Danio rerio: one gene and its partners. The protein of the gene in region 2 interacts with the protein of the main gene of each other region in a biochemical or structural test. Links are inferred from orthologs where the notes say so. Each region holds a gene or a part of one and is shown on either strand. Other genes may lie near its edges. The genes, in order: atf3, ddit3 and fosab.

What was found.
Region 1: the proteins of ddit3 (region 2) and atf3 form a complex in vitro, tested with the Homo sapiens proteins (2 studies listed by BioGRID and IntAct, with this or other methods). The link is inferred for Danio rerio from reciprocal best matches to the Homo sapiens genes DDIT3 and ATF3.
Region 3: the proteins of ddit3 (region 2) and fosab form a complex in vitro, tested with the Homo sapiens proteins (2 studies listed by BioGRID and IntAct, with this or other methods). The link is inferred for Danio rerio from reciprocal best matches to the Homo sapiens genes DDIT3 and FOS.

What each region holds. Positions count from the first base shown.
Region 1 is NC_133195.1:41,075,860-41,080,161, forward strand, and holds the start of atf3 (cyclic AMP-dependent transcription factor ATF-3), read left to right. Parts: upstream 1-1,364; 5' UTR 1,365-1,455; intron 1,456-3,329; 5' UTR 3,330-3,337; coding exon 3,338-3,580; intron 3,581-3,727; coding exon of another isoform or gene 3,728-3,768; coding exon 3,769-3,876; intron 3,877-4,302.
Region 2 is NC_133181.1:61,712,274-61,716,437, forward strand, and holds the start of ddit3 (DNA damage-inducible transcript 3 protein), read left to right. Parts: upstream 1-1,268; 5' UTR 1,269-1,385; intron 1,386-2,741; 5' UTR 2,742-2,808; intron 2,809-3,187; 5' UTR 3,188-3,250; coding exon 3,251-3,391; intron 3,392-3,466; coding exon 3,467-4,054; 3' UTR 4,055-4,164. UniProt on the Homo sapiens protein: Multifunctional transcription factor in endoplasmic reticulum (ER) stress response. Plays an essential role in the response to a wide variety of cell stresses and induces cell cycle arrest and apoptosis in response to ER stress.
Region 3 is NC_133195.1:49,906,074-49,910,136, reverse strand, and holds fosab (v-fos FBJ murine osteosarcoma viral oncogene homolog Ab), read left to right. Parts: upstream 1-1,407; 5' UTR 1,408-1,518; coding exon 1,519-1,623; intron 1,624-1,850; coding exon 1,851-2,060; intron 2,061-2,175; coding exon 2,176-2,283; intron 2,284-2,372; coding exon 2,373-2,999; 3' UTR 3,000-3,521; downstream 3,522-4,063. UniProt on the Homo sapiens protein: Nuclear phosphoprotein which forms a tight but non-covalently linked complex with the JUN/AP-1 transcription factor. In the heterodimer, FOS and JUN/AP-1 basic regions each seems to interact with symmetrical DNA half sites.

The DNA of each region.
Region 1 (4,302 bases), on a different chromosome or scaffold from region 2:
AGTGTGGACTGGGCTGTGTAATAATGAACAGCTACGGCAAGAAAGCTGTGCTTCACATTGAAAAGAGGAATGCAGACACTGCTGACGACCCACTCCCTTAAAACATCACCAAATCACTGCGTTAAATATTGAATTGAAAGGAAAGTGAAATAGAAAAACATGAGAAAGATAACAAGCCTATCACTAATTTTACTATATATTTATTAAGCAAACTTTTATTTTATAGTGTTTTGTTACATATTAGATGTACCAAAACTAATTAAGAAAAAAACTTACTCATATCCACCAACTTATTAGTTTAGACAGACAGACAGACAGACAGACAGACAGACAGACAGACAGACAGACAGACAGACAGACAGACAGACAGACAGACAGACAGACAGACAGACAGACAGACAGACAGACAGACAGACAGACAGACAGACAGACAGATAGATAGATAGATAGATAGATAGATAGATAATATTTATAGATAGATTTGTTTTAGTGTTCTTTTTAGACAGAATATGCCTAAAAATAAATTAAATGCATAATTATTTGCAAATAAAATGAACCTTAAATTAATTTTACTCAGTACTTGATATAATGTATAATTAAAAGTAACAAGGATGCTCAAATAAAGTGTAATAAATCGAATTAAACTTTTAAAGTTGAATACACTCAAATATTCAACCCTCTAAAAACTGAAAACCTCTAAATGTCATGTTACAATATTACATAACAATAATTAAATTATTATTAAATGATAAAATCCTAAATTCAGTCAGAAACAAACCAACTAAATTCAAACGCCATAAAAGATATTCAAAGCTGTTTTTTCCCTGAGCCAGTGGACATTTAAAACCAAATTTAAAGCTTTTAAAAAAACAGCCATATACACACTGACCTTGGCTTCATCTCTCCATCTCTTCATAAAAATACTAATAAAAAAAAGACATAAACAAGAAAACATAGGCTAAGTGTTTTTAACTTAACAGACCAAGAGGGATTTTATATGCTCTCTTTCAAACCAAGCAGACAGTCTGTCAGTCAGTCAGTCAAACTCTCTCTCTTTCTCATATCTCTTTTTTCAAAACTATTCGGCACATGACATTAGAGCATACCAGAGATGGCCTGTCATTACACGAGTATATGTCTTTATTTGCTCATTAGGTTAACATGCCAGCTCGTCAGCTTCACTATTGTGAGGGAGGGCGGGAGTTTGCCCAGTTATGGTGCGCGGCGGAGAGGGTTGCCTGATTGCATCATCGCGAAAGGACAGCGCCGCTGATGCTATAAATAGGGTGACGTCACTCGCCCCGCCCCTAGTAGTAGTTCACGTCCTCCAGCCATAAAAAGGGGTGATGCAACGAGCCGGCGACAACTGTAACTTTAGCAGCTGAGCGCGAGAACAGTCCGGCATCAGGAGAGCATCACAAACACACGCGCCTACATTTATTTACACACAACCAGGTAAGAGACGGCATTGTAGATTTCCTATTCATCGCTATTCTGGAACACGCTGTGGGAAAACGTCTATGGTGTGCTTGGTTTGGGCTACTAAAGGGAGATTTTTGCGTTTATGGGTCAAGCGATTGTATTTAGGTTTGAGTTAACGAACTCTTTTTTAACGAACTTTTATTTAGCTATAATGTATGTGCATTACTGTTTTTTTGCGTTAATATTTGTTCGATATTTATTAAAATTGGATTAAAACTGATTGATTTAAGTTCTCCTGTTTTCAAATTGTTTAACCGACAATGTTACGTCAGTAAGTTTACTTCATCGACAATGTGTAACACGAATACAACTCATGAAATAGTTAAAGATTATGATTTCATATAGCCTACTCTGTATTGAAAACCTGTCACTTAAATGTTAAAATATTAGGACTAATAAGGTTCTTAATCAATATTTGATGGTTTAGATTATTCTGTTTGCGAGTTGTTACTGTAGGCTATAATGTATTTGTACAGTAGTACACATACATTAGCAAAACGTTTGTTGAAATGAATGTTTATGACAAAAAAAAGCGATAGCATACTGTATAAAGAGAGCAAAACGTCTATAATACGTCATTGTAAAAGCAAAATATTGACAGCTGTGGTAGCCAGAACCTATGAAAACCCCTATAAATACTGTAATAATGTAACGAGTAAGATTGCACTTTAATAATTGTAAGTTGTACAGTTTCTATCTATAATTGAATGGTAACGTTAATGTTTATTTACATTATTTATTCCTTTAAAAAGGATTAAAACCGATTGATACGAATACAACTCATTAAATAGTTAAAGATTATAACTTTACTATTTTACACTGTACTACAAACCTGTCAGTCAAATGTTTAAAATATTATTATTAATATGAAATTGTTCATTAATATTTGATGGGTTTAGATTATTCTGTTAGCTAGTCGTTACTTTATGTATTCCTGTCTAGTCATACACATAAAATAACAAAAAAGTGTGTTAAAATGAGTGTTTATGACAAAAAAAGCGATATACTGTGTAAAGAGAGTAAAACATCTATAATACGTCACTGTAAAAAAATATATATATATTGACAGCTGTGGAAGCTGGGAGCTTTTAAATTACGGTTGTCATTGTAAGATTGATTGAGAATGACATGTGGTAAAAATTGTTAGCCAAATTACTTTCTGCTCATGATATCTAGCCTTTTATTAGCCAGTTGTGTCTGTATAATATAATATAATATAATATAATATAATATAATATAATATAATATAATATAATATAATATAATATAAAAACTTTAAAAACATAAACCATAAACGTAACATAACAAAATTTAACAACACAAGAACTTGTGACTACAATATTCTCCCTTAATCAAAACTTTATCACTTTAAAATCTCTTATTACTTAAAATCACTTATCACTTTAAAATGCATATCATTTAATGAATTTAATATTATATTAATCACCTTGTTAAATGTAATATTTATATAAATATCATAAATGACAATAATATTTAACAAGGAATATATATTTTAATTACAATAACTGTATAACTATTGTTTATATAGTTTATTATTATTAACAAATTATAACTGATGGTATATAATTATAACATTATGCAATTAAACACTTTTATTTCTAAAATACAATATTTAATGATCATTTTTAAATGTTGTTTTTGTTACAATTTAATTAATGGGTCTTACTCTATAAATCTGATGTTCTTAATCATTTTCTAACTATAACACAGTTATTTCAGTAGTTTTATAGAGAAAGGTGTAACATTTTTACTTGTTTATTTATTTATCTATCTTACCATTTTCCTCGTTAACATCATGATTTAACTGTTGTTTTGTATTTTTTTAGATTTCGGCATGATGCTTCAGCACCCTGGTTTGGGTCCGTCAGAGATCAGTGCATCAGCTTTGGTTCCCTGTCTCTCTCCGCCCGGCTCCCTCACGCTGGACGACTTCACAAACTTCACTCCATTAGTGAAAGAGGAGCTGCGCTACGCCATCCAGAACAAACGCATGTCCAACGGCATGAGCACCCTGACCACTGACAGAGCCTGCATGAACACTGAGAGACCCACCGAACTACCTGGGATGAAGCGAGAGGTAAGACCCACTCATTTACTGGCACAAATGTTTTTTTTTTTTTTAAGTGTAATTTCTCATATTTCACATTGGTTATATTGAGTAACGTGGACGTAGAAAAGCCATGCTTGCACAATTCACTTGTTCATCCACTTGTGGGCATTTTAGGTAGTTTGGCTTTCCCAAATTGTTAGATGTTGTTATTTCAGGCTGTCCCAGAGGAGAACGACCGAAGGAAAAGAAGAAGGGAAAGAAACAAAATTGCAGCAGCAAAATGTCGGAACAAGAAAAAGGAGAAAACCGATAATTTACAAAAGGTATTACTTGTTATTTAGCATTTGATTAAAAAACGTAACATTTATATGAACATATATTATATCTGTTATTTTTTATTATTGATCTTTTTTGCTATTTTTAACTGTATTTGATTACATTATATCTATTACATCTACAGTTGAAGTCAGAATTATTAGGCCCCTTTAATTAATTAATGTTTTTTTAATTTTACAAATGATGTTTAACAGAGCAAGGAAATTTTTACTGTATGTCTGATAGTATTTTTTCTTCTGGAAAAAGTCTTATTTGTTTTATTTTGAGTAGAATAAAAGCATTTTTAATTTTTAAAAAAAACATTTTTAAGGTCAAAATTATTAGCCCCTTTAAGCTATATTTTTTACAGAACAAACCATCATTATACAATAACTTGCCGAATTACCCTATCCTGCCTAGTTAACCTAATTAAC
Region 2 (4,164 bases):
GGCACCGTAATGTGTATGTAAAGTCAGTCCCAGGGTTTTATCTAAGTGTCAATACAAGGGAAATCTGAGTGGAGTTTTTGTCTTCTGATATATCTCGTATATATGTGTGTGTTTGTGTGTGTGTGTGTGTGTGTTTGTGTGTGTGTGTATACACTAAGACTAGTCTTAAGTAGATGTTATAAAATGATAACGAATACACTTTATGAAAATTACACCATCTTTGACCCATTGGAAACATGTTCAATTTTATATTTTGAAGACCAAATGTATTTGATATTTTTATCTTTACAAATATAGAGTTTATATTTTGAACACCAGTATATTCCAATAATATGTTAAAATAATTATGATATACTGAAATATCAACTCTTTGAGTGACCTAACTAGGCTATAGGGTCCATGTTGGGGAAAACACCCGAACACAGATTAAAACCTAATCTGCTGGAGACTAATCTCTGAACCAGATTCTGACCTTTACCATCTCAACGTCACTTTATGGGCTCATTTAATGACACTAAACGGCTGTGTTGAAGCATAACAGCGGTCATATAGTTTTGTTTTATAGACTGAGTGTGTGTGTGTGTGTGTGTGTGTGTGTGTGTTGAGCTCGGGCTCTTCCGCGTGGCTCGGGTGGGGTGGAGGATCCTCAAACTCCTATGGAAGATCCTGATTCCATAGGAAACATGAAAGAATCGCCTCAGGTCACCAGAGAGGGATTATTAAAGATGAAAAAAGTGTGAACAAATGTGTTGAATATCACACGGATATTACCGTCGCCTATTTCTACAGGCGCATATGCGAACGCCAGCAGAAATGGAGAGATTTTCCTACACCCTTATAAGGCGGTTCGTCAGTTTTCTTTTTTTCTCTTTAACGAAAGGTTGTTTAATAAAACATGCTCGGGCTCTGCTAGTCTTATCTCCGACTAGAAACCGGTTGCCAACGATTGCATCATTCCTTTCATGTGACTCCCTTACGCCCCAAATTCGTCCTGGCCGTCTTATGACTGCATCACATCTGCGGCTCAACCGAACCCGCGCAGAGCGAGACAACCAGCAGAGTCGCAGAGTCCCGCCCCCCGCGCTCAGCGCGGATGCTCATTGGATGTCTCTAAGCAGAAGAATGTCCACCGCCCAGCCTCATTGGACCAGGCGGCCGACCATCTCCTGTCAGTTCCTCGTGATTTGCGTTAGGTTGCGCCTCAAGATCCTTCCCCCGGAGTTCGGTTGGAGTCTCTCTATAAATGTCCCCGGGAGTTTCCGAAATCCACACTCGGTGACTTCAGCTGAACAATGGTTAACATGAGCGATCAGCCATCTCTACAAAAACACACACAGACCCTGAATCAGAAGCAGCCGAGGAAAAGAAACAATAAAAAGAAAAGGGTGAGTGTCATCTCTATTATTCTCTGCTCTTTACTGTGATCTTCTGGACTTTTCTTGCTGTTTTCCGTCAAGATGTTTTTCCTCTTCTGGAAAACGGGAGCGCGCATGTTTTGGCGACTCCTGAGCTGTTTTTGGACTACAGTTGCTCATCTCGAGTTTCACTGGACATGTTTTATTTCTATTTCATTATTAGTTTTATCCTATTCTTTTATAAACATTTACTCCATCAGTAACTCTTTCTTCAAAACTGCGCCGTGACAGCTGTCATAACTGTACAGTCTCGCTATTTCTGACGGACACGCGACAACTTTTTTTCCGCGAACGCCTTCATATGAACTCGTATCATTATTACTTCTTCCGATCGCCTCCCGCACTCCTGTCAGCGAAAACTGCGCGACATCAACTTTTCACAGATCGCGAAATCACGCCGACGTGGTCGCGACGCAGATCTCGTCGCGTTTTTAAATCGCTGAAGTACTTTTAAAGTGCGAGTTCGCGTCGAAGTGTCGCCCTTTGTTTCCTCAGTCCTGTACTTTGATTCCATGACGTCATTGGCTCGCTGTCAGTTTCGTAAACCCCGCTCCAGATGCGCACAATTAACAACAACACTCAATCCGGCTCCCAGACCGACACACGAGCTCCATTACACTGGAATGCGTCGATCCTCCTGTCGTTATTTAAACTACTCGATTCATTCACTGAGTAACTTTAAATCCAAAAGACAACAAACACAAGGCGTGACATTTCTTATTTATCATATTTTAATACATAATAAAACCATAATGTTTAGTTTATGATGATCTCTATAAATAAAAACAACAGTGGAGTGCCGCGGGTGTGTGTTGGCTCCGCTTTCATTGTCTCGCACTCACTTCTGAAGTCCTCTGTTAGCTGTGCAGTGTGTGTGTGTGTGTGTGTGTTGTGTCTGCGCTGTTCTTCCAGCTGATCTTGTGAATAAACCCGGCTGAGAGTGAGGCTGATCCGGCTTGTTTTGACGGACAGTTTGTGCGTGTGTGTGTTTGTGCGTGCACGCGCAGAGGGCGCCCTCGAGCACACAATGCGCCTTTGTTTACATAAAAAAACACAATGACCTAATTTCACTTTCCACATTAAAGAATCCATAACTGCTATGCGTTATTATTAACTTTACAATCATTTAAGCATTGCTGAATACACACTCGGGTTCCTTTATCTCTATGCTTTATACCACTTCATTGTTCTTTTTGCTGGCTTTCCTGTTTGTGTTTGTTTCACAGATGACCTAAACATGCATTTATGTTTCATATTCTTTTATTAAATACTTTTGGTAACCATGAACTGTGGCTTGAGCTCTTTCATTTTTTGTTTATTTTCTAGAGTTATTGGGACAAAATATCGCCAACAACTCACATTCAAACTTGATTGACAAGAGTCTCTTTATAAGGTGAGCACTTTACTTGATTCATTCAAACACAGTGATGTGAAAGGAGTTTAATAAGCAACACTAAACATGGTTAATAAAGTTAAGGGACACACAAAACTCCCAGTGTTCATGCATGCTTGTGAATCTCCAGGGCTTGTTTGTTTGTTTGTTTGTTTGTTGTTATGCAGTGACGATGTTCGGCCACTATGTGTCCTTATTTCACACAGTGGCCGAGCAGTCAATCTTAATGTCGTGTATAATAATAACGGGTCACCCAGATAAAGCGCGTACTCCCCAAACCTCTCTCAGCTGTACGCTGCGCTGCGCTCAAGACGCATCGGAGGTTTTTTTCTTGCCGCTTCTTCAGCACAGTTGATTGATTTGTGGTGTCGCCGGTCAGGTCTGGTGTGCTAGGAGTGGGAGCGTGTCGTATTGTGTCTGTGGATAGCGACTGATTGGTGCGATGACTGCGGAGTGGCTGTACCCCCCTGGCGTGGGGCCGCTGTGTGGTGCAGAGTTGGAGGCGTGGTATGAAGACCTACAGGATATACTGGGCTCCGACACGGGCGGGGCCAAACTTACAAGAGCCCCGCCTTCTTCAGAGGTCAGTAGCGTCTGGAATCGTTCAAAATACGTTTAACTTTCCCTACGTTTACTAACGATTTCTTTTGTCATGCAGAAGGAGCCTGAGTTTTTGGATGTTTTGGAGAGCTGTTCGCTCACCTGGTTGACCGAAGGGCAGGTATGGGGCGACGGGGTGCAACGGGTCACCGAAGATCCGCCCGTTCACCAATCGCCACCAAGGCAAGAAGAACGAACCACGGAGAACACCTCATCCGGAGATCTCCTTCCGCCGGAGTTTTTCGAACTCCTCAGCGAAGGTGGTGTTGGTGACACCATGGTAAACGGAGGCGCTGGGTATCACCTGCATGCACCTCCATCTCCAGCCGCCAGCGAAGAGGAGGAGCTCCCGACGGTTCCCGACACATCATCCTGCTCCTCAGCGTCCCGTTCGCCTTCTCTAAACTGCTCCCCGCCGGCATCTCCACCCGTCTCCTCCTCACGCAAAAGAAAACGAGGCGGCGCACTTTGCTCTGCATCCCCTGGGAAAAAGAGCCGCAGAGAGCGCGAACAGGAGAATGAAAGGAAAGTGCAGGAGCTGACGGATCAAAACGAGCGGCTGAAAGCCGAGATCGAGCGACTGGGCGAGGAGGTGCAGAGGACGCGGCGGGCGCTTATCGAAAGACTGGTCAACACCCGCAGGTGAATGAGCAACAGGAGGACATGTAGAGAAGAAGGGGACGCCAACAATCGGAGGAAATTCTTCTTGTGGAGAGCGTGAAATGCACATTTAGAGGGAGATAAAAGACACGTGGG
Region 3 (4,063 bases), on a different chromosome or scaffold from region 2:
TCTAGAAAAGGGTTAAAGGTGTCGGATGTGGAAGTCAAAAGCATTTATTGTGTTTATACCAAAACTATTTTCGACTATAAAACGTTGCAATTTAGTTTTTTGCTACCCGTAAAGTATACACAATCAAAGCGGCGTGTTTATTTACCGGCAATACACAAAGCAGACTCTCGCTGCTGAAAGGTGAAACTTCAGAGTTCATTTGCACAGGCTCGTGTTGCAGTGACGACAGTGGGAGGGGCGTCGCTTAGACAACGCGGAAGATCAAACAAAACACGAGCAGAGAAGTGGATCAGTGACGTCACATGGGAACGCTGATAGAGCTGTTTTCGCTTGTTAATCAATAACAAACCTCATGTTTGCCCGTAGCCAACGGCAGACAAGTAATAAACGAAGACTTTTATACATGATAAACGTATAAATACGGACAATTAATGATGAGCAATACAAAAATGGTCCCTAAATAAACATGATTGAACTGATGTAGATGATTTTAATACATAATATAGTGATTCATATATTTTATTAAATATACTATAACGTATATATTGAAAAATGTATTGAATATAGCAGATTTAACACATTTAGACTACTACAAATCTTGCATTATTATTATTTACTGTGATGCAATAGGCTGAGGAAATAAATGAGCTCAGCATTTTGTTACAAAGGAATCCCTCGTTAACCGTGTGAAGGCAGTTCACACTGGAAATACGTGGTTTATGAGTCGACACGCCCTTTATACACCCAAAGGTACGAACACAGCCCGGGGCATGAAAGACTTTGAATACTTCTGCACAGAAATGATGAAATCTAGGACAACAGGTGCCATGTAAACACAGCATGGACGTGATATGTACTTAAAAAGACATATTCAATTTTGATCAAATGATTGTGTCAAGAAAATAATATAAAGTCATTAAATCAAGTTCATAAACTATAATAAAAATACATTTAGAGCTGATATAATAAGTATATTCTGTTAAATGCTGTTTTTATTTATTTATTTACTTGTAAAACATTGAAATCTTCTCGAACTATCTTTACATAATGCTGCTCACTTGCACAGAGTATTTCCCATAAGCACTCCGCCTCTTCAGGATGTTTTCCATATAAGTTAAATGACGTCTTGGGATACCCTGCTACGGAACATCGTCTCTTTCACTCCGTTTCACCCAGAAATAACAACATGCGAATGTTTTTAAAGATAAAATCTTACGTATTAAGCGTGTATTCTTGCATTATTAATGTTTCGATAATGTATTCAGTAAAATGCGCTCGCGAAGACGTGTTTTTAACGTTTCTATGCAAACACTGAACGCACATGGCCACGCCCCTCCCTTTGACGTCAGGCACAGATCTGGATATAAACCCCGCGAGCGCTGTGGAGCGGCAGTCAAACTTTGGATACCAAAACAGAGAAAAGAGCAGCAGACGAGCAAGGAAATACAAGACCGGAGCGTTTTTAACTTTCTGGATATATTAGCGCTGGATAGCTCGTGCTTTTCGACTTTTGACAGGATGATGTTTACCAGCCTTAACGCCGACTGCGACGCGTCTTCCCGGTGCAGCACGGCTTCACCGAGCGGCGACAGCGTCGGGTATTACCCGCTCAACCAGACTCAGGTATTTACATGACAGCAATATATTTAGAATGATCATTTCAGATAAATCATGATTTAAGTCAGTTTATTTATGTTTTTAAAGTATATTATGTTCTGTATTATGTTATAATCTGAATGAAACCCCATAAACAGTAATATAAACAAATAAATTGTATATATATTAGTTTTGTGACTAATCAAAATATATTGTTTATCATATAATAAACGATTTCATATTCTATATTTCAGGAGTTCACGGATCTGAGTGTCTCAAGTGCCTCTTTCGTGCCAACTGTCACGGCGATCTCTTCATGCCCGGACTTGCAGTGGATGGTCCAGCCCATGATCTCCTCTGTGGCGCCCTCCAACGGCGCAGCTCAATCCTACAACCCGAGCTCTTACCCCAAAATGAGGGTTACTGGAGCAAAGACCTCCAACAAGAGAAGCAGATCTGAACAGGTAAATAATTTGCAATTAACTTTTGTTTTAAAATCAACTGACAAACAACTGACAATCTACATTTTGAATGTTAATTTGCCAATGCTAAAACACCCTTATTTTTGTGCTTCTGCAGCTTTCTCCAGAAGAAGAAGAGAAGAAAAGAGTACGTCGTGAACGAAACAAGATGGCTGCTGCGAAATGCCGCAACCGTCGACGTGAACTCACCGATACACTGCAAGCTGTAAGTATTCTGCATTTTCCCTCCAAATCCCATTCTAGCTCGTTCCATCCATGACATCATTAAACTAACCCTTTGATGTTCCACAACAGGAAACTGACCAGCTTGAGGATGAAAAATCCGCCCTGCAGAACGACATCGCCAACCTGCTCAAAGAAAAAGAGAGGTTAGAGTTCATCCTCGCCGCACACAAACCCATCTGCAAGATCCCGGCCGACGCCAGCTTCCCAGAGCCGTCCTCCTCTCCCATGGGCTCCATCTCAGTCCCAGAGATCGTCACTACCTCAGTGGTCTCTTCCACACCAAACACATCAATCACGACCTCTTCCAGCAGCCTGCTGTTCTCCAGCACGGCCTCCACCGACAGCTTCAGCTCCACCACAGTGAAGATCTCTGATCTGGAGCCCACTCTAGAGGAGTCTCTGGAGCTCCTGGCTAAAGCGGAGCTGGAAACGGCTCGCTCGGTTCCAGACATGGACCTGTCCAACTCTCTGTACACTCAAGACTGGGAGCCGCTCTACACGCCGGCTAACACTGACCTGGAGCCGCTTTGCACACCCGTCGTCACCTGCACTCCAGCCTGCACCACCTACACGTCTTCCTTCATGTTCACCTACCCAGAAAACGACGTCTTCCCGACATCAGTGCATCGCAGGGGCAGCAGCAGCAACGATCAGTCGTCCGACTCCTTGAATTCCCCAACCCTCCTCACTCTTTGAGATTCCACTAAAGACTATTAGTATTTATATCTGTGACTTGATTTCGAATGGCATTGCAGGGCTATGGAAGTGACTCTAAAGCAATGGATATTGCTTCCTATATTTATCTGAACCATACATGCCTGCCACATGTAGCAAGATAAGCATGGATCAACTGATTTTATTTGCATTAATGATCTGGTTAGTGTTGAGTTAACCTAATATAGTTATTTTTCTGAGTTTACCGGTGCTAGATTTGTTGTATTTAGTGTGTTCTGAGCAATAGAGAACTATCATGTTATTTTTTTTCGGCCGTTTAACGGTTGATTTCTGAACGTGTGAATGTTGTTTACTCAAATGTGTGCTGCCTAACCATTGCATTAAATGGTCTGACGTCCAAGTATGAAGTTTTCTGTGAAAACGTAGTCTCTCTTTTAATTTATGGAGTTTTTATTTTTGTACTGAAATGTGAACTTGCGAATTGTTTGCAAAAAACAAACAAAAAAAACTAGACACAATAAATATTAAATGTATAAACTAAAAGATTTGTGTGAATGCGAGCTTATTGTGTGGCTTGAAAATACAGTTTACAGCAGTGTTTCCCAACCATGTTCCTGAAGGACAACCAACACTGCACATTTGTTGCTAGATCAAATACGGTTGAGGATGGAAGTTAACTAAGTAGACTGAGAAGGCTGTTATCGTCCATCCACATGGTTAATCATCTATAGATCACATATGGTTGCGGCCGGATGTTAGCGAGATTTATATTATTTATTAAATTTCCTATTAATTGTATTCTATTAACGGCTTCCCCCACCCCAACTATCACAGTAATGTAAAAACAGTCGATGTATGGAGTATTACTTATGCTATCTGTTAAAATAATTCATTCATTTTCTTGTCGGCTTAGCCCCTTTATTAATTTGGGGTCGCCACAGCGGAATGAACCGCCAACTTATCCAGCACGTTTTTATGCAGCGAATGCCCTTCCAGCTGCAACCCATTCCTGGGAAAGCTATCTATTAAATTACCCAATACATTTTATTTTTTAATACCCACCCCCAACCAAACCTAACAATCAC